Macaca fascicularis: one gene and its partners. The protein of the gene in region 2 interacts with the protein of the main gene of each other region in a biochemical or structural test. Links are inferred from orthologs where the notes say so. Each region holds a gene or a part of one and is shown on either strand. Other genes may lie near its edges. The genes, in order: PRKN, ATXN3 and calpain-2 catalytic subunit.

Region 1 (8,284 bases), on a different chromosome or scaffold from region 2:
GGTATGTTTCTGTGTCAAGGATCCTGTAGACAGAGAGCCCAAGATACTGATCCCTCAGTCTCCCATGGGTGTCAACAGCTGTGCTTGATAGTGTAAGACCAAACCTGGTTACAGAAATACCTATTTGGTTTGTCTACACTAAAGAATTTGTTACTGCCTTACTTGTTGGATTAATATATTGTTATAAAGAAAGAAAGAACCGTATTAAGCATTTTCTCTTTGACAGGTAATATTTTATTTATTGGAGAAACAAAGATAAATAAGACATTGTTTCTGCTCTGGGGTAGCTTAAAACCATATTGGAGCACTCTGATGTCTTCCCACCGAAAATCTCTTTCTCCCATATCTGAGGAATTGTTTTGTATACTAGGAGAGCTAAATAGTATTTGGGGCTGTTGCGTGGCTGTACAACTGGACTGCATCCAATGTATTGTCCATGGAATGTGGCTTTGAACTGAACCAGCATGGTGTGTGAGTACGCCATCTGTCAAAGGCACCGCTTCTGGGACCAGCAAGATTTTCTATGAGAGTCAAAGATTAAGCAATTAATGATCTCAGAAACAGGGATGGCAACTGAGGGAAATGTGTCCTATTAGGATCACTGTAACTACTGAAATCTGTTTGAGGACTTTCATTTCCCCTTTGCAGCTCTACCCTAAGCATTAGGAAAATCTGGATTTGAAATCTTTTAGATTTCATCAACATTTGTCACATTTCAGCCATCCCTGAAAATTCACTCAGGTTCTTCTTGTGTTTCATGGCATCTGGCTATATGATGATATAGGATTTTTTTTTTTTTTGGTATCAATTTTTAGTTCACAGAAAGCTGGAATGCTACCAGTAGGACTGTCACGTTGATAGCTCCTTCTCATTCTGCCTTCTCTGTATATTTTCCAAACAGAATTGTGTAAGTGAGCAGCTAAACAGAATTCTGAGGCCTTATGTATGTACAAGATTAGGGAGCCATCCTCTTTAGTTTTCTAAAACTCATAAATGGTAACAATACTACCAACGATGTATCATTGCGGATCGGGATCTGAGCTCTTTACATTTCCTTGAATCTTCAAAACAGCCTTCAAAGTTGATATATATTGTCAATGGCAGAAAGCTGGAGAAGGAAGAATCATTTGCCGAAATTCGTACAGCTAATGAATTATGTAGAGCTTGAATCCATTTGACTTGACATAGAAAAGTCCATTTGACTTGACATAGAAAAGGACATAGAATTTGAGTCCAAATTCTATGTTCTTTCTTTCTTGTTCTGCTGATTCCCTCTGTGGCACTTTGGACACTGAGCTCATGACTGTTTATATTCATTCATTCATTCACTCCTTCATTCTTTCTTACTTCCCTTCAGTCATTCACTTTTTCAAACTTTTTAAATTCATAAATATGTTTCTACATCTCCTGGCTTCAAAGCACTGTGTGATAGATAAATATTAGTATGACCAAGTTGTTGGTCTCAAGTATTTCTAAAATAAGTTGGAAGATAAGACTCAGACACACACACACACACACACACACACACACACACACACACACACACACACACACACACACACACACACACACACATACTGTCCAAGCTCTAACCACTGCAATAAGAAGAGCACAGTAAGCAAAGATTTTTAGATTCAGATGAGGGAGAAAGTTGTTACTTTTCTCTAGGAGGATCACAGGAAGTACCTGAGTCCTGAACATGGAAAGGAAGGGACACAATGTGGATAGAAACCTCAGGATAGGCTAGGGTGCTAATTCTCCACTCTTCCTTCTGTGGCAAAGCTCAGGTCCTTGAGCATACTCGGATCCTGATGCCAGTTTCTTTGAAATGACTTAGGCTAGAGGCTGTGTGTAGCTAGAGGAGTGCTACCTGACATGGAGCTGATCATAGACAGTGATACCTTGTCCAAGTAGAATGGAAAATCGAGGACTGTCTGCCATTATTGCTCAAAAGTCAAGCACAAATCTCAGTGCCATAAAAGCATGCCATCTTTCTCATGTGCCTGCAGGTCAGTGGGGGTGCCCATGGCCTCAGGCTGGCTTCAGCTACAGGTCCCTGCTTTATACTGTGACTATGGCTGCACTTGGTCACCTCTGTGGGTTGGACTCAGGTGTGGGCCATGTGTGAACAGGTGGAAGCTTTCTCGGAGGTTCTGTTTTTTGCGACGGAGTCTCGCTCCATGCAGTGCAGTGCAGTGGCGGGATCTCGGGTTACTGCAACCTTTGCCTCCTGGGTTTAAGTGATTCTCCTGCTTCAGCCTCCTGAGTAGCTGGGATTACAGGCACACGCCACCATAGCCAGCTAATTTTTGTGTTTTTAGTAAAGGTGGGGTTTCACCATGTTGGCCAGGCTGGCCTTGAACTCCTGACCTCAAGTGATCCACCCGCCTCTGCCTCCCAAAGTGCTTGGATTACAGGTGTGAGCTACTGTGCCCAGCAGGGATGTTCTTTTGATGGACCTTAGCAGCGGGACAAATACAAAGCCCTGGTTCCAATTACATCTGCTAATGTCCCTTTGGCCAAAGACATTCAAGTGGCTGGGCACAATCACTGGGAGAGGAAGTGGGGAGCATGATGTATGCACACTAATGTACGGGCGTGCATAATTTTGAAGAATAGTTTAATCTGCCACACATATAATATAGGAGGGGTAAGGAAGATAAAAAATCAAATCTAGATCATGATCTAGAAAGGAAAAAAGTACAAATACACTCGAAGAACATGGGAGATGTTACAGTCCATTTTACAAGTAATACTGAGACACTTTAGAAAGATTATGTAGCACACACACACCCAGAATTCTTGTACATATTGGACTGGAGTATGGCTATATTGGATGTAAAAGGAGTAATCGTGAGGGAGGCCTAAAATGGGGAGGTGAATATTGAGATATAAAGGAGTTGAAGATGTGAAGGGTAATTCTGAGACAGAATTGCTAACTGTTGGTGCCTTGCCGATATCAAAGATTAGGTAGGTGAAATTCAAGATAGTGATTCTCTTGCAGCCCATTACAAAACATGGGAGGATAATGAGACTTTCAGGTGGAAGGGGAAGGCTCGAAGTGGGTGATGTGGGGGATGGTTTTTCCTGACAGAACCAGGGAAATCATGCAGGGGAGGACTTCAAGTCAGAGAATGATGAACAGTGGCCCCTGCTGAGTAGGAACAGTCCTGGGGAGAGGCTGGGAGCTCTGAGAATGGGGATCGGGAGGGGCACAGGGCCTGGGGATGAGATGGAGCCCCAGGGTGTGAGAGTAGAGAAGAGGTCTGAATGGGATTTAAGGACAAAGGGTGTCCTGGTGCCGTACTGGATGGAGGAGCCAGACTCCAGCCGTTGTATTTGTGGTCAGATTGTTGGTGAGTGCTGGGCATCACTGTTCGAGGGACATTGATGGTGAAGGCAACAGAAGAGCTTGAGAAAGCAGCAGGGGAGGGCATCATTTACTGCTGTTAGTTATGGATGCATTTCATTTGAGTGTCCTGGGAGCATTCCTAAAATGAGAATGGCAAGAGGTATTTGAAAGGCATTGATTCATTTTAATTTTTATTTTATTTTGCTTTATATTTTTTGAGATGGAGTCTTGCTCTGTTGCCCAGGCTGGAGTGCAGTGGCATGATCTCGGCTCGCTGCAACCTCCGCCTCCCAGGCTCAAGCAATTATGTTGCTTCAGCCTCCTAAGTAGCTGGGATTACAGGCCCATGCCACCAGAGCTGGCTAATTTTTTTGTATTTTTGGTAGAGACGAGGTTTCACCATGTTTCCCTGGCTGGTCACAAACTTCTGGCCTCAAGTGATCCGCCCACCTCAGCCTCCTGAAGTGCAGGGATTACAGGCGTCAGCCACTGTGCCCGGCCACATCGATTTGCTGAGAGAGTAAGGTCCTTGCTGTGTCTTAAGAGGGTAGCAAGCAGATCAGTAACTGCTTCTATGTAGTAGATATTCTTTTTTTTTTTTTTTTTTTGGTGGGGGGATGGGGGTGGGCATTCAAGTGATTCTCCTGCCTCAGCCTCCTAAGTAGCTGGGACTACAGGCACACAGCACCACGCCCGGCTAATGTATTTGCAGTAGAGACGGGATTTCACCACGTTGGTCAAGCTCTTCTCGAACTCCTGACCTCAGGCGATCCACTCACCTCGGCCTCTCAAAGTGCGGGATTAGAGGCCTGAGCCACCGCGGGCGGCCCTATGTAGTAGATATTCTGAAACTAGAATTCCATTTAGGGTAGCCTAGTTCTTGTCCTGGCAAATAATCTGACTTTTAATTTTTATGCTAGAAAATGTTAAAGTCTTCTTCTGTTCCTACGTGTCAATATATAGATGCAAAACCTTTTTGTAAATGTTTGCTGATTTTCATAGTTAAATCGACCGAGAGAGAATGAACCGTGGGTGGCAGGAGTGTGCTCCTGCCTTGCTTCCCCACTGGTGTAACGATGTGTGTTCTGGTGCCCGTGGAGGGGTGTGTGTGGAGTCTACTCAAACACATTCATTTCCAATGCTGTACGGAAATGCCCTCTAATTGATAATAACTTTCTGTACTTTTATAAAAAAGAAAAGAATGACATATCAATTCTGATGTCAATCAGTTTTATTATTTAAGAATATTTTTAGTAGCCAGGCGTGGTGGCACCCGCCTGTAATCCCAGCTACTCGGGAGGCTGAGGCAGAAGAATTGCTTGAACCCGGGAGGTGGAGGTTGCAATGAGCTGAGATGGCACCACTGCACTCCAGCCTGGATGACAGAGTGAGACTCCATCTCGGGGAAAAAATAAAAAAAGAATTATTGTTTTCACTGTGCTTATAGATCCACTTTGGTAATTTTTTTTTTCCTGGTAGATTTCATGTCCTTTTGAATATGACTTCAGCGTTCTGTTGTGTTTCACGTATCCCCAAATTTCTGTTTCTGGCCCCAGTTCAGTGTTGTTTGTCTACCATGTGTAGTGTGTAAGTGCTGTGGCCAAACATGTGCCTAAGCTGGTCAATTACATGTCACTTTCCCTTCCCTTCTAACACTGAGGACAAGTTAAACTCTATCTGGCATTTCATGTTTGCCATTTCCTTGTTTTTTTTCCACCTTGCTCCCAAACAGAACTGTGACCTGGATCAGCAGAGCATCGTTCACATTGTTCAGAGACCACGGAGAAAAGGTCAAGAAATGAATGCAACTGGAGGCGACAACGCCAGAAACACGGCGGGAGGCTGTGAGCGGGAGCCCCAGAGCTTGACTCGGGTGGACCTCAGCAGCTCAGTCCTCCCAGGAGACTCTGTGGGACTGGCTGTCATTCTGCACACTGACAGCAGGAATGACTCACCACCAGCTGGCAGTCCAGGTAATTGGAATGCCCTAAGAGTATTAGAGCATTCTGTTTGTTTGTTTAGTGCAGTCTCCATGGAGCATGGCCTCACCAGGTGCATATTTAGTGTCGATACGTTTTGGATTTGAGTCTGTAATTCACTCCAAGGAGACATCACTGTAGGTGGAGTACTTTGATGTAAAATTTGAGAATGCACTTATTATAAGTACTATGAAACAGGTTTTCACATTGAGATTAAATAGAAGAGATATGTTTCTAGTGATGTAGAAAAATTCTAAAAAGTAGAAAGATTTTGAAAGCTAATCGAGCCATTTGTAGTTTCTCAAGCCACATATTCCAATGGCAATGACATCCTTAGTGTGAAAGGATTCTTCCTTCTCTGTTCTACCACCCATTTCAAAATGCTTTTCTTTGGAAAAGATGGTTATTGTTTAGTTATTTTTAAAATATTAATATGTGTCTCTTAGTCTTTTATTCTCTAAATAGTCAAAGGTGTAATAGAATTAATTTTTACTGTGTCTGACAGAATACACAAAATAATCACAATGACTTTACAGGGTAGAAGTTGATTTTCCTCCCACATACAATAGATCCTGGCAGTTGTGGGCTGGTATGGCCTTCACAGTGTCAGAAAGTTCTGGGACCTGCAAGATGGAAGCCTGACGTAATAAGAAATGCCTCCCACTAAAATTACTAAATAAAATTTAAGGAATTAAAAATTTTCAATGAGCTTGCAAAAAATAAAAAAAAAGATAATTTTCAAGGACAAGTGAAAATGTAGAAGCAACATCTTTAAATACAGGAGTAGATAAACCCAGAAAGTAAGGCATTAGCTGATGCTCTGGTGATCTTGAGATGACTGTGGGAGGGAAAGAGGCTCTGCTTCATGTGAGCTGGGCACCTCAGGTCTGGAAAGAAAAACTGAGAAATGGAAACAAATGTCAAAAATGGGGAAAAATGAAATAAATCTAAACCCCTGCAATGCCCTTGTGATCCAGGATATGATAAATTAATATAAATATCAAACCCAAGCTCCTCACAATTCTGATGTTTCAACCAGAGTATGTAGAAGATCATTCTGACATTGACACCTCTAGAGAAAAACAAGCCCTACTAAAGGATACTCAGTGCTCCAACATTATAAACCAAACAAGGGAAAATTCCACCTTGAGGGTGTATGAGACCAGAATATACCACCCCAAAATATGCCATGTTAGCATAAGTATTATTTTGAGCTGATTATTTTGAGAAACAGTAGACATAGGACAAGCTCTAAAAACAGAGCGGAAGTCACCCTTTTGTAAGGGAAATTTATATCTACCAAGGAAATCTCCATTTGTAAGGGTGTCTCCCTCTCCTTACTAGGATGAGAAGGACAGAGTCTCTGGAGACTCTGATTCTTGAGAAGCCACCAACTTAATAATCTGCGTAACAAACCTTACTCTTGTCTTCTCCTCTCCCTTTCTTCCTTTGCCGTAGAAGATAGTATCCAAGCCTGAATTTTAGACCACCTCTTTGAGATTTATGCATTTTTTCTGGATGTCTAACATGTACGGTCATCCCTCCCCATCAATAGGCAATATGTTTCAAGTCCCCCAATGTAGGGCTGAAACCAAAAGTGGTACCAACTGTGTAACAGATTGGATTTATTATGTTAGTAGACCTATCTACTAGTTCTTTGATTTCCCAAAATAAAATTCTTACTAAAAATAAAAAAATCACATTGTTTAGAACAAAATTAAACCTTTACCTATTACTGAATATTAAAAACAATTTTAGCACAATAATCATATTCTGTACATATTCACATTCGTTAATCCATTTCCTAGTGCATCTGTCTCTACTATCTTATCAAACATATTTATCTGACTCTTCTTATTTTGTTTTATCATAAAATTGTCCTTGGTCTTCTCCAGAATTTTCTTTTATGAGAATGAACTTAGAATTATTGACATTTTCAATTGACTTTTTTTGTCTTTCTCTCTAGACCATAATTTTTTGTTAAGAAAATATAGTATTCTCTCTATATAGGGTCTGAAGTACCAGTAGGCACTGAGAAAATTCTGCTAAATGTATAATATTCTCTTTATTTTTAAATTGAAATGTGTAATTATTTCCACCCAAACAATAGACAATAAATTCTAGTAAATGTGTGGAATGCGGTAAATGACAGCAGCTTTCAGAGTACTGTGTGGCCTATGATGACATGCTGTTTCACCTTTACTTTCCACCCATGTCTGAGTCACATCTTACCTCTGATCACCATGTTTCTCATTTACCCCTCTGTCTTGTGGTCTGCCAGCTTTGTGCATTTTGCAGGCTAGGGACTGGCTTAGGCAACTCTACATGGTGCAGCTGGGGGCTGCAGGGGTGCCCTCCTAATACACTTCTCCCTGCACCACTACAGACTGGGGGTGACTTCCTGGTACCCTACATACTGCTACTGAAAGGCCTCTGTGTAGTTATATTGCATCTGTAAAGGATTGGGAAAAGAGACATGGCTTATCCCAGGTCAACTTTCAGATTTAACTCTGTGTTAAACTAACAACTAAACTACAAGTAATCCTCTCCTACTCATTAGAACCGGAAGGAATCCTTTTCAGAACCCTTAGGACTCTCCCTTGTTACTTGCTAGTTTGTACTCCAGTTCCGACTTCGCCTTTGAATCTCTTTGAGGATGGAGTTTTTGTCCAGTTAACTGTAGTTTTCCTCAAAATCTCTTAGAAGAGTGGTGAGACATGTTTACTAAATTCCTTAAAATTGTAAACATAGTAAGTCATTCATCAGAATTCCTGTGCATTTAGCTTTTAGAACGAATGCTTTATTTAAGATTATACAGAGAAAATGAGACTTCATCTCTTCAAATGTCTTGGTTCATTCTTGGTTTGAGTTACGACTTTGGAATGATTTGAAATGACTATATGCAAACAGTATGCCTATATGATTATTTTTCTTCACTAAAAATTATAGCGTA
Region 2 (8,284 bases):
CCCAGCTACTCAGGAGGCTGAGGCAGGAGAATCGCTTGAACCTCCTGGGAGGCAGAGGTTGCAATGAGCTGAGATTGCACCACTGCACTTCAGCCTGGGTGACAGAGTGAGACTCCATCTCAAATAAAAAATAATAATAATAATTAATAATAGAAAAACTTAGATTGTTTTAGGTATAGCCCACTCTTAGTTTTTGTGTGTAGCATCTAGCTTGGGGAAACCCTGGATTTCTGGAATCATATTTATACACAGTCACACTAGACTAATGTAATTCTTTTGGGATGCAAACCACACGTTTGACACCTTAAATAGCTTTTAGGTATTTGGCTTCTCAGCTCCTATTTTTAGTTACAAGGGGTATACATGTGTGGGTCAGGGTAGCTCTTTCCACAGATGATTAGTTTTAGCCATGTTACTAGTTATTGCACACATTATCTGACTGTGTCCTCGAAACAGCCCTGTGAGTGTATTAGTCAGGGTTCTCTAGAGGGACAGAACTAATAAGATAGATGTATATATGAAGGGTAATGTACTAAGGAATATTGACTCATATGATCACAAGGTGAAGTCCCACAATAGGCTGTCTGCAAGCTGAGGAACCAGGAAGCCTGTCCAAGTCCCAAAACCTCAAAAGTAGGGAAGCTGACAGTGCAGCCTTCAGTCTATGGCCAAAGGCCCAAGAGCCCCTGGCAAACCACTGGTGTAAATTCAAGAGTCCAAAAGATGAAGAACTTGGAGTGTGATATTTGAGGGCAGGAAGCATCCAGCATGGGAGAAAGGTGAAGGCTCAGCAAGTCTGGTCCTTCCACACTCTTATTTCTGCCTGATTTATTCTAGCCGAGCTGGCAGCTGATTAGATGGTGACCACCCAGATTGAGGGTGGGTCTGCCTCTCCCAGTTCACTGGCTTAAATGTTAATCTCCTTTGGAAACACCCTCACAGACACACCCAGAAACAATAATTTGTAGCCTTCAATCCAATCAAGTTGATAATATTAACCATCACAGGAAGGTACCAGTATCATTATGTTTAACAGTAGAAACCAAGACAAATGCAGCTAGGAAGTGGGAGAACTGGGATCAGATGCAGGCAGTCTGATTCTCAATCAGTTGCTCTTACCGACTCCTTTACTCTCTCTCATACCAGTAAGTGAGTAGCCTGCTCAGTCAAGTGCTATATTAGTAGGGCCCTTTACAGACATTTACTTCGCACAGTCACTCAGTGAGACGGCTATTCCAGTCTTACAATGGAGAAAGTGAGGCTCAGAGATTTTAAGTAACTTATCCTAGATGACTTTACTAGTAAGTATAAGAATCATTATTTGAACTAAAATCTTTCTGAATCCTCAGCTTGTATTTTTTTCCAGTGTACTGTGCTGCCTCTTTACTAGCATTTTACATCAATTTTGAATCTCTTTACTAGCTGTTTAGGTTGATTTTTGCCTTTTTGTTTTAGGTTATTCTATATTTGTTGTTAAGGGTGACCTGCCAGATTGCGAAGCTGACCAACTCCTGCAGATGATCAGGGTCCAACAGATGCACCGACCAAAACTTATTGGAGAAGAATTAGCACAACTGAAAGAGCAAAGGTAAAAATGAGGCCTGCAGTATGGAACATATGACGATATTTCATTATGAGAATAAAATTTTCATGCTTACATTGAATATGTGGTCCTTGTGTTGTCGGCACCTCTATTTTGGACCTTACATTTTAGTGAAGTTTATTAGTTCGAACGTGAATCAACTCTTTGAAATACTTAAATATATTAACTAAGTTAGCAGGTATGGTGTATTCCTAGCACTTCAGGAGGCTGAGGCAGGCTGATTGCTTCAACCCAGGAGTTTGAGACCAGCCTGGGCAACATGGCAAAACCTCACCTCTACAAATAGTACAAAAATTAGCCAGACGTGGTGGTGCGTGTCTGTAGTCCTAGCTACTTGGGAGGCAGAGGAGGAAGGATCACCCAAAACTGGGGAGGTCGAGACTACAGTGAGCCACAATCACACCACCGCACTCCAGCCTGGGCAAGAGAGTCAGACCCTGTCTCAAAAAAAGAAACAGAGAAAAAAAACTTAGTTGGATTCAAATTACAACACAATCATTATATTACTAGAGCTTATTTGCCAGAAAACGTTTTAAGTTTTGGCTTACGTAAAGCCTTTACATTACAAATGCCTTTATGTTATGTCTAAAATAGAAGATTGGTTGCAGTTACTACCAGTGCTTTTGTTCTTTAGAGTCCATAAAACAGACCTGGAACGAGTGTTAGAAGCAAATGATGGCTCAGGAATGTTAGATGAAGATGAGGAGGATTTGCAGAGGGCTCTGGCACTAAGTCGCCAAGAAATTGACATGGAAGATGAGGAAGCAGATCTCCGCAGGGCTATTCAGCTAAGTATGCAAGGTAAAGACATTCTGATGTGTGTTGTATTCATTGCTGAAGAATTGATTCCAATTATTCTTAGGTTTCCTGGAAGTTAATGTACTCTTAGAAGTGTTTTGACAATTACTGCAGAAGCAATAGCTATATAGTGGGCTTTCCCTTTAGATTTCTTATAATGGAAATAACTTTTTACAACCTATATTTTATTAGGAGTAGTTATATTTTTACTCCTGGTTATTTATTTGGTTTCAATAACCTGTACTAACACAGTAGTCAATTGTGGTGTTAATCTTTGTGGGTATCAGTTGACCCTTACCCAAATCAGCTCTTTCATAAATGTATGTCATTAGACACTATGGAAGGGCCTGGACAGGGGATATAAACTGATTATACAAAAAGCCAACATTTATTGGCTATGCAACTTAAACCTTAAGCCCGCTTTGGTGGGCCCAGTTTTTTAGTGATATAAACTATCAATTTCAAAAGTGAAAACATATCCCCTATACAGTCTAGGCAAAGAAAAATGTTAAGACATAGCTCGAAGTTTCTTAATTAAAAGTTTGAAGTGGGTTTTTTGTTTTATTTTTCTCTAACTTATGTGTATTTGCTTCTACTTTCTAATGAAATTATTTATCAATTGATTTCCTTAGATATCCAGATAAAATTGAGATTCCATTAATGGGAAGATTATTTTCATCCTGAACTTTTCTTGCCTCTAGGCACACCTCTGAGTACTCCATATGGTGTGCAATCCCATTTTTGATTAATAGAGTCCTGCTGGATTAGCAGGGACAGAAATCAGCTTTAGATTTCTTTTGTTTTTTGAATTAAGAGTCTCACTGTCGCCCAGCCTGGAGTGCAACAATCTTGGCTCACTGCAACCTCTGCCTTCCGGGTTCAAGCAATTCTCCTGCCTCAGCCTCTTGAGTAACTGGGACTACAGGCACCTACCACCATGCCTGGCAAGTTTTTTGTACTTTTAGTAGAGATATGGTTTTGCCCTGTTGGCCAGGCTGGTCTTGAACTCCTCACCTCAGGTGATCCACCTGCCTTGGCCTCCCACAGTGCTGGGATTACATGTGTGAGCCACCACGCCCAGCCAGAAGAGTAGAATATTCTTCAAGAAAAAACATTTTAAAAGCTTACTCAAATGAGTATAAACAAATGTATTGTTGCTTGAATTGGTAAATACAGTGATTGGTTTTTGTTCTGTTGTGTTTTGTTTTCAGGTAGTTCCAGAAATATATCTCAAGATATTCCACAGACATCAGGTACAAATCTTACTTCAGAAGAGCTTCGGAAGAGACGAGAAGCCTACTTTGAAAAGTAAAGTAGTTGGTACAAATTAAAGTAGCACGTTTAATATTTGCTTTGGCTATTTTGTCTGTTTGTAAATGGTTACTGCCTGAATCCTATGAATATTTGAATGCATATTTAAAAAATTTACAGCAAATAGGACAGGCACGGTGGCTTACGCCTGTGATCCTAGCACTTTGGGAGGCCAAGGTGGGCAGATTGCCTGAGGTCAGGAGTTCGAGACCAGCCCAGGCAACACAGTAAAACTCCATCTCTACTAAAAAATACAAAAAAATTAGCCGGGCGTGGCAGTGTGCGCTGTAGTCCCAGCTGCTTGGGAGGCTCAGCCAGGAGAATTGCTTGAACCTAGCAGGTGGAGGTTGCAGTGAGCCGAGATCGCACCACTGCACTCCAGACTGGTTGATACAGTGAGACTGTCTCCAAAAATATATGTGTGTATATATAAATAAAAATAAAAATTTACAGCAAATAACATGAAGCAAAATGTAGTTTTAATGAAAAAGTTTGCCTCAATACTGGATAAATTTTTGAAACTGAGTGAAGGAAACCTTGTACAATTTCATTTATTAAAAGAAAAATGAAATTAGGACAAGGCAAGAAGAATACCTATTGATCCTTTGGATGTGCTTCTTGCTTACCTGATTAACCCTGCAAAATTTCTCTACCAATCAGTAAGAAAAACAGCTTTTGAGGTATGGGAGCACATTCCCAAATAGACATGGGTAGTTCATTTAGCTGCTCATGGCTGCTGCAGGGGGTCCTGTAGGCCTGTTAGCATCAGGAGAATGGATGCAAACCATAAATCTGGATCAACTCCTAAAACTTTACCTTGTGCCCAGCCTTGTAAGTGCTTGCTAAATAGGAATTCCACTGTATGAAAATACATTCTTTTCAAGTAACTATTATTCAGACTTTTGTCCCCCACTTTTTTAAAAAAAGAAGAAGAAAAGGCTGGGTGCAGTGGCTTACGCCTGTAATCCCACCATTGTATGAAATAGGAATTCCACTGTATGAAAATACATTCTTTTCAAGTAACTATCATTCAGACTTTTGTCCCCCACTTTTTTAAAAAAAGAAAAATAAAAGGCTGGGCACAGTGGCTTATGCCTGTAATCCCACCATTTTGGGAGGCCAAGGCGGGTCTTTGGGAGTGAGTTTTTGGGAGGCAGGAGAATCGCTTGAACCCGGGAGGCGGAAGTTGTGGTGAGCTGAGATCGCGCCATTGCTCTCCAGCCTGGGCAACAAGAGTGAAACTCCGTCTTAAAAAAAACAAAACAAAACAAAAATTAGCTGGGCGTGGTGGTGGGTGTCTATAATCCCAGCTACTCGGGAGGCTGAGGCAGGAGAATCGCTTGAATCCGGGACGCAGAAGTTGCAGTGAGCTGAGATTGTGCCACTGCACTCCAGCCTGGGGACAAGAGCGAGACCTCGTCTCAAAAAAAAAAAAAGAAAAACTCCATGTTAAAAATTACAAGATAAATAATCAGACCCGCTGATCCTAGGTCAGAAAACAAAAGACTCATAGCTGAATCTGACCTGCCATTGCTGTATTTCATCCATTCTAAGATGCACATAGTTTCACATTTCAATGTCTCTGAAATTGAGAAGTATCTTACAATCATAATTGACAGTATATTAGCAGCACCTAAAAATATTGGCTCATTTTACATTTGATGGTATAATGAAGAAAATATTTACCTTTTTTTCTGTTTTGTTTTTAAGTCACAACTCAGAAGTAGATGAAGGAAAATTCTGATCAGCTGACATCCTCTTAATGTGAGATATTTCTAGTCTTTATTCAGCATAGATTAATGGCTAATTATATGTTACATTTCAAAGTAGTGCTTATTAGTGCTTTTTACTTTTAAGTTTCAAAATTAACTTTTTTATTAAACTCCAAATTTATACAAAAGTAGAAAAACTAGCATAATGAACTCTTGTTTATCACCCAGATTCAACAAATACTAGCACACGGCCAATCCTGCCTTTTTTTTTTTTTTTTTTTTTGAGGTGGAGTCTTGCTCTGTTGCCCAGGCTGGAGTGCATTGGCACAATTTCTGCTCACTGCAACCTCTGCCTCCTGGGTTCAGGCAATTCTCCCACTTCAGCCTCCCATGTAGCTGGGATTACAGGTGCACACCACCATGCCCAGCTAATTCTTATATTTTTAGTAGACACAGGGTTTCACCATGTTGCCCAGGCTGGTCTTAAACTCCTGACCTCAAGTGATCCACCTGCCTCGGTCTCCCAAAGTGCTGGGATTACAGGCATGAGCCACTGCACCTGGCCCAGTCTCGTTTTATAATACTCCCATCTCCCATTCTTTCCACTGTCCCACCTACAAGTTTGGATTATTTTGTAACAAATCTCAATCATCATATCATTTGTTCTATAACCATTTTAATATATGTCTCTAAAATATATGAACTTTTTTTAACATAGTTAAATGCTATTGTCATAAAATAATCATGATAATTAATTGTAATTCTATATCACCAATTATCTAGTTAATGTAAAAAATAACTTAAATCTAAGGCCAGGTGCGGTGGCTCACACCTGTAATCCCAGCACTTTGGGAGGCGGAGGCGGGCGAATCACCTGAGGTCAGGAGTTCAAGACCAGCCTGACCAACATGGAGAAACCCCATCTCTACTAAAAACACAAAAAAATAGCTGGGCGTGGTGGCGCATGCCTGTAATTCCAGCTAGTTGGGAGGCTGAGGCAGGAGAATCAGGGAGACAGAGGTTGTGGTGAGCTGAGGTCTTGCCACTGCACTCTAGCCTTGGCAAAAAGAGTGAAACTCTGTCTCAAATAAATAAATAAATAATAAAAAAATAACTTAAATCTACTTAATTAGAAAAACTAATATTCTGGAAATTTTATTTTAAGAAATATCTAAATTGGCCGGGCACGATGGCTCACACCTCTAATCCCAGCACTTTGGGAGGCTGAGGCGAGCAGATCACCTGAGGTCAGAAGGGTCAGGAGTTCAAGACCAGCCTGGCCAATGTGGCGAAACACCGTCACCACTAAAAATACAAAAATTAGCTGGGCATGATGGCGAGCCCCTGTAATCCCAGCTACTCAGGAGGCTGAAACAGGAGAATCTCTTGAACCCAGGAGGTGGAGGTTGCAGTGAGCTGAGATCACCCCACTGCACTCCAGCCTGGATGACAGAGTGAAACTCTATCTCAAAAAAACAAACAAAAAAAAAGAAATAGCAAAATTAAAAGAAAGCATACATGGCCAGGTGTAGTGGCTCATGTCTGTAATCCCAGCACTTTTGGAGGCTGAGGCAAGCAGATCATTTGAGGCCACGAGTTCAATACCAGCCTGGCCAACATGGCGAAAGCCCGTCTCTCCTAAAAATACAAAAAAATTAGTCGGGCATGGCGGCGCACACCTGTAATTGCAGCTACTTTGGAGGCTGAGGCAGGAGAATTGTTTGAACCCAGAGGTGGAGGTTACAGTGAGCTGAGATTGTGCCACTGCACTCTATCCTGGGTGACAGAGCGAGACTCTGTCTCAAAAAGTAAAAAAGGGGGCGGGTGCGGTAGCTCACTCCTGCAATCCCAGCACTTTGGGAGGCCAAGGCAGGCAGATCACAAGGTCAGGAGATGGAGACCATCCTGGCTAACACAGTGAAACCCCGTCTCTCTACTAAAAAATACAAAAAAAATTAGCTGGGTGTGATGGCAGGCGCCTGTAGTCCCAGCTACTTGGGAGGCTGAGGCAGGAGAATGGCGTGAACCCAGGAGGCGGAGCTTGCATTGAGCAGAGATGGCGCTACTGCGCTCCAGCCTGGGCGACAGAGCGAGGCTCTGTCTCAAAAAAAAAAAAAAAAACCGTCACCTCCTTTAGTAACTGATGTTAGTATTTTGGCACATTCTCTTTCTGTGACTTATACACACTTACCTTGTAAGTGTTGTACTCATTTCCTATGACAGTAAATAGTCTTTGTAACAGGCTGCATGATATTTCATAAAATGAATGGATGTGGCATAATTTATATATGTGCCTTTTGAATTATGCTATTATAATTAATACTGCAATGAACAATTCTTATATTGCCTCTATGCCTCAAATGTCTCATCATTTCTTCTTTTTTCTGAGGATGTCAGATTACTGGGTTAAAGGGTATGAATATTTTTAAGACCTTGGTACAGATTTCTAAATTGCTTTCCAGAATAATTCCCATGTGATACTTTCATCATGTTTATTTCAGACTTTCTTTTTCCTTTTTTGAGACGAAATCTCACTCTGTCACCCAGGCTGGCGTGTAGTGGCACAATCTCAGCTCACTGCAACCTCCGCCCTCTGAGTTTAAGCGATTCTTCTCCTTCAGCCTCCCAAGTAGCTGGGATCACAGACAAGTGCCACCATGCCCGGCTAATTTTCGTGTTTTTTGTAGAGATGGGGTTTCACCATGTTACCCAGGCTGGTTTCGAACTCCTGAGCTCAGGCAATCTGCCCACCTCGGCCTCCCAAAGTTCTGGGATTACAGGCGTGTGCCACCACACCCGGCCATCAGACTTTTTTTTATGCCATTTTTTGCCATATAATGGTCTAAAGACATACATCATA
Region 3 (8,284 bases), on a different chromosome or scaffold from region 2:
TTTTAATTTTTTGAGAGAGACAGGGTCTCACTGTGTTGTCCAGGCTGGTCTCAAACCCCTGAGCTCAAGCAGTTCTCCCACCTCAGGCTCCCAAAGTGCTGGGATTACGGGTGTGAGCCACCATACCTGGCAGCTTCCCAGGTCTTAAAAAAATCCCTCCACCATTTAGTCCCATCACAAAGTTATTTAGCCCTCTTTCTTCCCAACAACTCCAAAAAACGTCCTGTTTCTTCACTATGTGGAGGAACTTTGCAATCACTGAGCTCATTTGGGGCTCCCTTTGCTAACCCCAAGACCCATCAAAGTGCTAAGCCAGGCATCGTCTGCTCTACGCCTCCACCAGCCTCTCACCCTCTGCTCCCTCCCAGATTCCCAAGAAAAGGGGCCATGAGCGTCTTCTTTCCCCACTGATTGAATCCCACACATACACACCCCCAAAAGGCAAAAATGACTGCAGTCAATCTTGGTTTTAAACAAAGGAGTTTATCCATGAGTTACATAAATATGTATAAGTGAATAGAGACATCTGAGCCTGTGAGGGACCCTGGCATGATGGGCATAGAGGAGGGTCAGCTGGGTCTTGGAGGCAGCTGGTTTTCACTAGTTTTACAGGAAGTCTGAGCTTTGAGTTTTAAAGAATGAAGAAGACATGCCAGATAAGAGGAATGGTGTAAGAGAACTAAGTTAAGAAAGACCACAAACATGGGTAGAGGGGAGTATTTATTATTTATATTCTCTACAGCAAAGAAATGGTGAGTGGACTCTCCCTACTGCATCTGTGCATTAAAACATCGTATCTAGGTCAAGCGCAGTGGCTCATACCTGTAATTCCAGCACTTTGGGAGGCTGATGCTGGAGGATCGTTTGATCCTAGGAGTTTGAAGTTTCAATGAGCTAGGATCATACCACTGCAGTCCAGCCTGGGTGTTCTAAAAAGAACAAAACCAAAAACTGTATCTAAAATCCAGGATGGGGCAGTACTACTCAAAGTGTGGTCTGGGGACAGCAGCCCCAACATGGCCTGGGGGCTTGTTAGAAATGCACATTCATAGACCCCACCGCAGGCCTACCTAATGCACTGCTGTCCTGCGCTGTGCTCATCCAGCTCCCATGGGGGGCCAATAACTATGCTCTGGTTGTGTGTCCACAGGATGCAGAGATCTCTGCCTTTGAGCTGCAGACCATCCTGAGAAGGGTTCTAGCAAAGCGTGAGTATCTCCTCATTGCAAAACCTCATCCTGCTCTTTCCCCTGTGGATGGGAAGGAACATGAAAATCTTTCTTCCTCCATGTCCGGCTGCTGTGACTAAACCACCACCCTCCATCCCCTCCAAGAAGTGGATGAAGGATCTGTATGATGTGATAAAAAAAGAACAAGTGTTTCTAGCATCCACAGATCAAAGATCAAATCCACATTTCCACTACATACTTACTAGCTTTGTGTGATCAATTTTTTTATTTTATTTATTTATTTATTTGTTTATTTATTGAGACAGAGTCTTGCTCTGTCACCCAGGCTGGAGTGCAGTGGCGCAATCTCAGCTCACTGCAATCTCTACCTCCCAAATTCAAGTGATTCTCCTGCCTCAGCCTCTGAAGTAGCTGGAATCACAGGCATGTGCCACCACAGCCAGCTGACTTTTGTATTTTTGGTAGAGATGGGGTTTCACCATATTGGCCAGGCTGGTCTCGAACTCCTGACCTCAAGTGATCCACCAGCCTTGGCCTCCCACAGTGCTGGGATTATAGGCATGCACCACCACACCCGGCTAACTTTTGTATTTTCCTAGAGGCGGGGTTTCTCCATGTTGGCCAGGCTGGTCTTGAACTCCTGGCCTCAAGTGATCCGCCTGCCTCAGCCTCCCAAAGTGCTGGGATTACAGGTGTGAGCCACCACGCCTGGCCACATCTTGTAACTATTTCTTTTTTTTTTTTTTTTTTTTTTTTTTTTTTGAGACAGAGTCTCGCTTAGTCGCCCAGGCTGGAGTGCAGTGGCGCGATCTCGGCTCACTGCAAGCTCCGCCTCCCGGGTTCATGCCATTCTCCTGCCTCAACCTCCCGAGTAGCTGGGACTACAGGCGCCCGCCGCCTCGCCCGGCTAATTTCTTGCATTTTTAGTAGAGACGGGGTTTCACAGTGTTAGCCAGGATGGTCTCGATCTCCTGACCTTGTGATCCGCCCGCCTCGGCCTCCCAAAGTGCTGGGATTACAGGCGTGAGCCACCGCGCCCGGCCTCTTGTAACTATTTCTTAAGCAAAAAAATGTCAGAGGATTGATCATTCAACCCCCTACTGTGGATCACCAGCAGGGAGGAGCGGGGAAACACAACACAGAGACATTTTTTCCCCTCAAATTAGCACAATAATCATGCTGCATTTGATAAGAGAGCAATTGGCAATCCAGGAAGCAGAGTTTTGTACATATCAGAAGCTAGGAATCTGCATCAGAGACAAATGTAATCATGGTCGTTTGCTGCATACCAGCCCTAGGGATCATCTCGAGAAGCCTCATGGACTTCAGGGGACATCATTCCCTCTCATAAGATGGCCTCTAGCCTAACTCCATGAGATAAAATAAATCTGCCTTTCAGAGCCAAAGAAGAGTCCAGGGCCAGCTGGGTCTTCCCTCCCAGTGTGAACCAAGAGGGTTGGGCCAGCCAGGCTACAGTCAGTCCAGTGCAGGGCCTCCCCAGAGGGGCCCCGGTCTCTATCCGCCCTCTAATTTTCAGGGAAGGCAAGAAGACTGTGTTTACCCTGGAGACCACCAGGCACAAGTGAGGTCACAGAGCTCTTCAGATATGCAATCCTCATGAGCTGAGGAGACGAAAGCCTCATTGTTTCTGCACAGATGGAGGGTGGGGCTGGGAGGTGGGGAAGAAGCGGGCCTTGCCTGGATGCAGCCCACTCCTTGCTCCGGGAGCAGCATTCACTCCGCACATGCCTCTGAGCTTAATACCCTAGCCCTAGCCACCTGGTGACTCCAGCCTTCTGGAGGGCTCAACGCCAGAGTCTGCATGCGTGGCCGTTGGGCCAGAGCCTCATGACCATCTAAGAAGGGGTTGGTGCCCAGAGTGGCAGCTTTGAGGCAGGTCAGGCTCTAACCTCTTTCAAGGACATGACAAAAAAGCTGGACTTTTCGTGAAGTCTGTGGGGAGCCAGATTCACATTGGTGACTAGGGTCTCATGCCACCTGCCAACACCAAGTGGATAGGACTCCCTTAGTGCAGCATGATGGCTTGTGGAGAGATCCCAGGGCTTCAGGTTTCTCAGTCAGCTGGGGACACAGTCCATAAATGTCTGCAGATGGACAGTTCAAGTAAACCTCTTTCTCTCACGGGTCATAGCCTATAATTAACACACCTCCTCTCTGTTTTCTTTTTCCCTGCCCAACAACTACAGGTGACTTTATATCCAGTGGGCACCTAAGGCCAAGCCATTGATCATTCTGTTATTTATTTGTTCAAAAAGCACTTTTTAAAGCCCTGTTTGCCCATGGCAAATATACAGAGACATCAGGACAATGTGGACATCGTCTGCACTGTCCCAATCTGGTAGTCACTGGCCATGTGTGGCTATTTATATAATGGAAGTGGCTTCTGTATGGGAATGGGCACAGATAAAGAATATCTCCATGATTGTGGAAAGTTCAACTGGACATCACCGCTTAGAGATTTTTCCTGTCACACTGATTTTGTCTTTTAGGCCAAGATATCAAGTCAGATGGCTTCAGCATTGAGACGTGCAAAATTATGGTTGACATGCTAGATGTATCCTTTAATGTGCTCCAGAGAATAGAGACTAGGGGAGTTTAAAATCTCACTCCAGAAAAATTCAAACACATGGCCTTCTCCCCTTTCAAAATGGCCAGTTGTTCCCAACTTGCTGAGTTGCTGTCGGACAGTCAGCAGCACTGACCTCCCTTACTAGGGAAATTCGAGAATCTTCTGATGAGGGAAAGCAAATGCTACACCTCCCCCCAACACCTACCCTGAAAGGCTTAGAATGCAGGCCCACGGCCTGGCGCCATGACTCACGCCTGTAATCCCAGCACTTTGGGAGGCCAGGGTGGCCAGATCACGAGGTCAGGAGTTCGAGACCAGCCTGTCCAACCTGGTGAAACCCCATCTCTGCTAAAAATACAAAAATTAGCTAGGCGTGGTGGCATGTGCCTGTAATCCCAGCTACTTGGGAGGCTGAGGCGGGAGAATCACTTGAACCTGGGAGGCAGAAGTTGCAGTGAGCCAAGATCGCGCCACTGCACTCCAGCCTGGGCGACAGAGTGAGACTCGTCTCAAAAAAAAAAAAAGAAAGAAAAAAAAAAGAAAAAGAATGTAGGCCCACCAGTCCATTCCTGGGGCTGGTGCAGGAAGTTCCTGACAATATGCCCATCACTTCTTTGCACAAAGCAGCTCGAATTTGTTTCCTCAGTGATGTGTTTCCATTACTTCCTCTAGGAAAATATTCCCTAACCACAGTATTTCTGATGTGAATCTGTTTTGTCTGATCAAGATCGTCTTCTTGATTTAGATAAGAGCTACTTTCATAAGCATCCTACTTCCCTTTTGCTCTAGCTCCTTCCCAGACAACCCGCCTGTCCCCAAGGCAAATTAGTCATCCATTTGCCCCTTGTTTCCAATGCTTAGTGAGAAGTGGTGGTAAGGGGCAGCCTGAGCTTCTGTGAAGTTTTTTCTGTGTGTTTGTTTGCTTGTTTAGTTGGTTGGTAGGTTGGTTTTTTTGAAACAGGGTCTCACTCTGTCACCCAGGCTGGAGTGCAGTGGCATGATCTCAGCTCACTCCAACCTCCGCCTCTCAGGTTCAGGTGATTCTTCCCCCTCAGCCTCCCCAGTAGCTAGGACTACAGGTGCATGCCACCACACCCAGCTAATTTTTCTCTTTTTAGTAGAGTTGGGGTTTCACCACGTTGGCGAGGCTGGTCTCAAATTCCTGACCACAGGTGATCAGCCACCTCGACCTCCCAAAGTGCTGGGATTACAGGTGTAAGCCACCATGCCTGGCCACTTCTGTGAAGTTTTATTTAGTGGATTCACGGTGTGCACCTGCTAGCTGCCTTCACCAAAGGCCTCTTAGATATACTCCACATACTCTAAAAAAAGAGCAAGGGCTTAGCCACTAGAAGCCATCCAAAGCCCTCTGCATGTCATCCAATAGCTCATTTTTAGTGGTATCTGGGGCCTCCACAGCACCTCCAGATCAAAACAGCAACCAGAATCGGCAGGGAGCCAGCAAGTCGTTCTCGCCCTTCCTCCAATCCTTTAAACGGAGGTTTAGCCAGTGGGAAAAGCAGGAAAAGGATCCTTCTGCAAACCCTCCCTGTGCGTGTGCTATGATATTCAAAAGATCCAGTTGAGAAGACAAACTAGGTGACACTATGCCCAAATGGACCCACACTCAAGGGCTTTCCTTGACTGAAGGCAGTCAGACGGGAGTGGCAAGCTGGGGCTGAAGGAGTTCTACATTCTCTGGACGAAGATTCAAAAATACCAAGTAAGATCCCAGAGGTGCGGGTGGATCTGTGTTGGGGAACATTCTGTGTGTATGCTTTAAGATGCAGCAACTCCTCCACAGAGTGGAGAAACATTTCCGAGGGGATTGGCATTTTACCCATAATGAAGCTCAGAGTGAGTAAAGACCGGGTTGAGGAAATGCAAACAAAAAACCAACCAGGATTTTGCGGGTGAAGTGGCCTGTTCCCTTCCTCCCGATTATTGGGATCATCTAAAGGCCGCCATCAAGGGTTTCCTGCAAAGGGTTTTTGACAGCTAAAGTACAAAAATTATATATAAGACAAGAACATGGGCCTATGGGCATTGGCTGGCTGACTTGATGGGCATATTTACAAACCAGCTCACAGACAGAAGCAAAATACTGTTAGTTATTCAAGGCAGAAACATGGGTGATTCTTCCAAGGCCAAACTAGAGGCACAGAGCTGGAAAAACTTCATCTCCACTCAGCACATACTAGGGAGGTAACTCGCCAGCTTTGCTTTGGGTCATAGTTCTTACAACTAATTTATGTGTTCCAGAAAATTTACCGGGAAATCGACGTTGACAGGTCTGGTACCATGAATTCCTATGAAATGCGGAAAGCGTTAGAAGAAGCAGGTAACCCTTTATAATTGCATTTTCATTCCTAGTTTAATCTGGCTGTAGAATATGTGAACACTCATCCTATACCATATAATACAAGGTTTGGTAAAGCTATAAAATAAAGTAGGTGCTGTTTTAATACAAACACCTCCTTTTCATTCCCCTTTTAAAGACTAATTGGTAAAATTAAATGCAGTAGGATGCTCTGCCCTCTGTGCCTTCTTGAATCCAAGTTTCCTTCAGAGTCCCCTGGCACAGCAAGCAGACAAAGCCAGTTCTCAACAGACTCCTCCAGGTGCCTCCTTTCTGGTGCAGGGTTGGTTAGGCAGAAATGGAATGTTTCAGCTCAGCCCTTAGGGTAAGACCCTAGCAGAATTGGATATCAATAAAAGGACACAAGCTAGTGGTAGACCAGCAGAGTGGGAGACTGCTGGGCTTTGGGAACAAATGCGACAGCATGAGGCTGTACATTCTATTTGCTGGAATATAATGCTGCCGCAGAGACCCCACACAACAGTGGTTTAAACGAGGTACGTCTTTCTGTCGCATGGCAATCCCAGCTCCAGCGGTCCACAGCTAGGATGGTGTCTCCTACTCTCCTACTGTGTGATCACTCTTCCCCCAGTCTCCCCCCATCCATGATGCCCACCGGTCCTTCGAGGCTTGCCCTCATCCGAGGGACCTGGGATGGCGTGCCACCACAAACACATGCCGCCAACAGGTTGACAGCAAAAGGCTCCTCGCCTTTAAGGGCACACAGGCCATTTCTGCTCACACATCCTACCAGCCAGACTGTGATCGCAAGGCCTCTGTTGGCTGCAAGGAAGCTGGCACATGCAGTCTTGAAGCTAGGTGGCCACAGGACCAATAGAAATTATTTTACTCTGGAAAGAGGGAGAACTACCATGAGTTTACCAGGAACAGCTTCTGCTCACATATATCCAGGAAGAATCTGGTCTCCAAGACCATTCAGAGCTAAACAAAAAATCAAAAAGCAGCAGCATGGTTAACAACATGAAGCAACCATGACCATGAGAACAAGAAAAGACTTACGTGTCATTAAAGACACAGGCAGGGTGAAGGTGGACAGTCCAGAAACAAAAGAAACAGCAGACGGTACTGGCTTTGCAAAATCAAACCAGTCTCATAGAAGAGCGGCCAAGGGACAAAAGCAATTATACCTCATTTAAATCACCACTTGGTTCCATAGCCTGTGAGTGCAGCTAAATGGTACAGTCTAATGCTTAGCAATCAGTTTGTTTGTTCATGTAACTTCAGGTTTCAAGATGCCCTGTCAACTCCACCAAGTCATCGTTGCTCGGTTTGCAGATGACCAGCTCATCATCGATTTTGATAATTTTGTTCGGTGTTTGGTTCGGCTGGAAACGCTATTCAGTAAGTGGATATTTGGGGAAAGACTCATTTCAGTTATCTTGGTATTAAAGTGGCCTGCCTTTCACCTTGGTGAAATCATCTAAACTAGAGACATGTCTTCCAGGAGTTGAGAATGAACTTCCCTCTTTACTAATTTGAGAGTGAGGAAGAAAGCGTGTATGGCGGTCAGTGAAGTCAGTTGCTGAAATGAGAAAAGGCTAATGTAATCTCTGTTTCAGCTCACTCACTCGTGACATCCTTTTTTCTCCCTCCACAGAGATATTTAAGCAGCTGGATCCCGAGAATACTGGAACAATAGAGCTCGACCTTATCTCTGTGAGTCAGCAGCTCATACCCCCACCTTGCTTCTAAGGGGATGGGGGAGGCATGGGGCGGAAAGGGCTATTACCTGAGTGACCTGCTTTTTCAAGTTTTGCTTTAAAGAGCTCTTGGTCTGTCGGGGCCAGGCCTGTACACAGCTGTAAGATCCCACAATGCACTTTTATTTGCAATTGTTTTCCAACTACCTATTCTCAAGTCCAAAATGCATGCCTGGCTCCCTCTTCCCATGAGCTTTGACTTGAGTGTAGCTCAAGGTTAAACTAAGGAGTGGCTGCAGGATGATGCTTAGAAAAATGAACTCTTGATTAGTATGCAAGGGAGAACATGCTTATATAAAGAAATTCTTTGGATGAAATTCAAGTTGGGTTTTGGGAAGATCCATCATTCTTAGAATGGATCTACTTAAAATACTTTGTGAGCAAATTAGTTTTCTCTACTCCCTCCCCATTTAAGATAAAACCA

The links.
Region 1: the proteins of ATXN3 (region 2) and PRKN form a complex in vitro, tested with the Homo sapiens proteins (4 studies listed by BioGRID and IntAct, with this or other methods). The link is inferred for Macaca fascicularis from reciprocal best matches to the Homo sapiens genes ATXN3 and PRKN.
Region 3: of the proteins of ATXN3 (region 2) and calpain-2 catalytic subunit, one has a biochemical effect on the other in vitro, tested with the Homo sapiens proteins (2 studies listed by BioGRID). The link is inferred for Macaca fascicularis from reciprocal best matches to the Homo sapiens genes ATXN3 and CAPN2.

Annotation. Positions count from the first base shown.
Region 1 is NC_088378.1:8,859,576-8,867,859, forward strand, and holds part of PRKN (E3 ubiquitin-protein ligase parkin), read left to right. Parts: intron 1-5,084; coding exon 5,085-5,325; intron 5,326-8,284. UniProt on the Homo sapiens protein: Functions within a multiprotein E3 ubiquitin ligase complex, catalyzing the covalent attachment of ubiquitin moieties onto substrate proteins. Substrates include SYT11 and VDAC1.
Region 2 is NC_088381.1:160,070,930-160,079,213, reverse strand, and holds part of ATXN3 (ataxin-3), read left to right. Parts: intron 1-1,455; coding exon 1,456-1,588; intron 1,589-2,237; coding exon 2,238-2,404; intron 2,405-3,612; coding exon 3,613-3,709; intron 3,710-5,422; coding exon of another isoform or gene 5,423-5,456; exon of another isoform or gene 5,457-5,476; intron 5,477-8,284. UniProt on the Homo sapiens protein: Deubiquitinating enzyme involved in protein homeostasis maintenance, transcription, cytoskeleton regulation, myogenesis and degradation of misfolded chaperone substrates.
Region 3 is NC_088375.1:81,725,210-81,733,493, forward strand, and holds part of calpain-2 catalytic subunit, read left to right. Parts: intron 1-1,150; coding exon 1,151-1,208; intron 1,209-3,700; coding exon 3,701-3,765; intron 3,766-5,434; coding exon 5,435-5,503; intron 5,504-6,042; coding exon 6,043-6,121; intron 6,122-7,384; coding exon 7,385-7,501; intron 7,502-7,757; coding exon 7,758-7,816; intron 7,817-8,284. UniProt on the Homo sapiens protein: Calcium-regulated non-lysosomal thiol-protease which catalyzes limited proteolysis of substrates involved in cytoskeletal remodeling and signal transduction. Proteolytically cleaves MYOC at 'Arg-226'.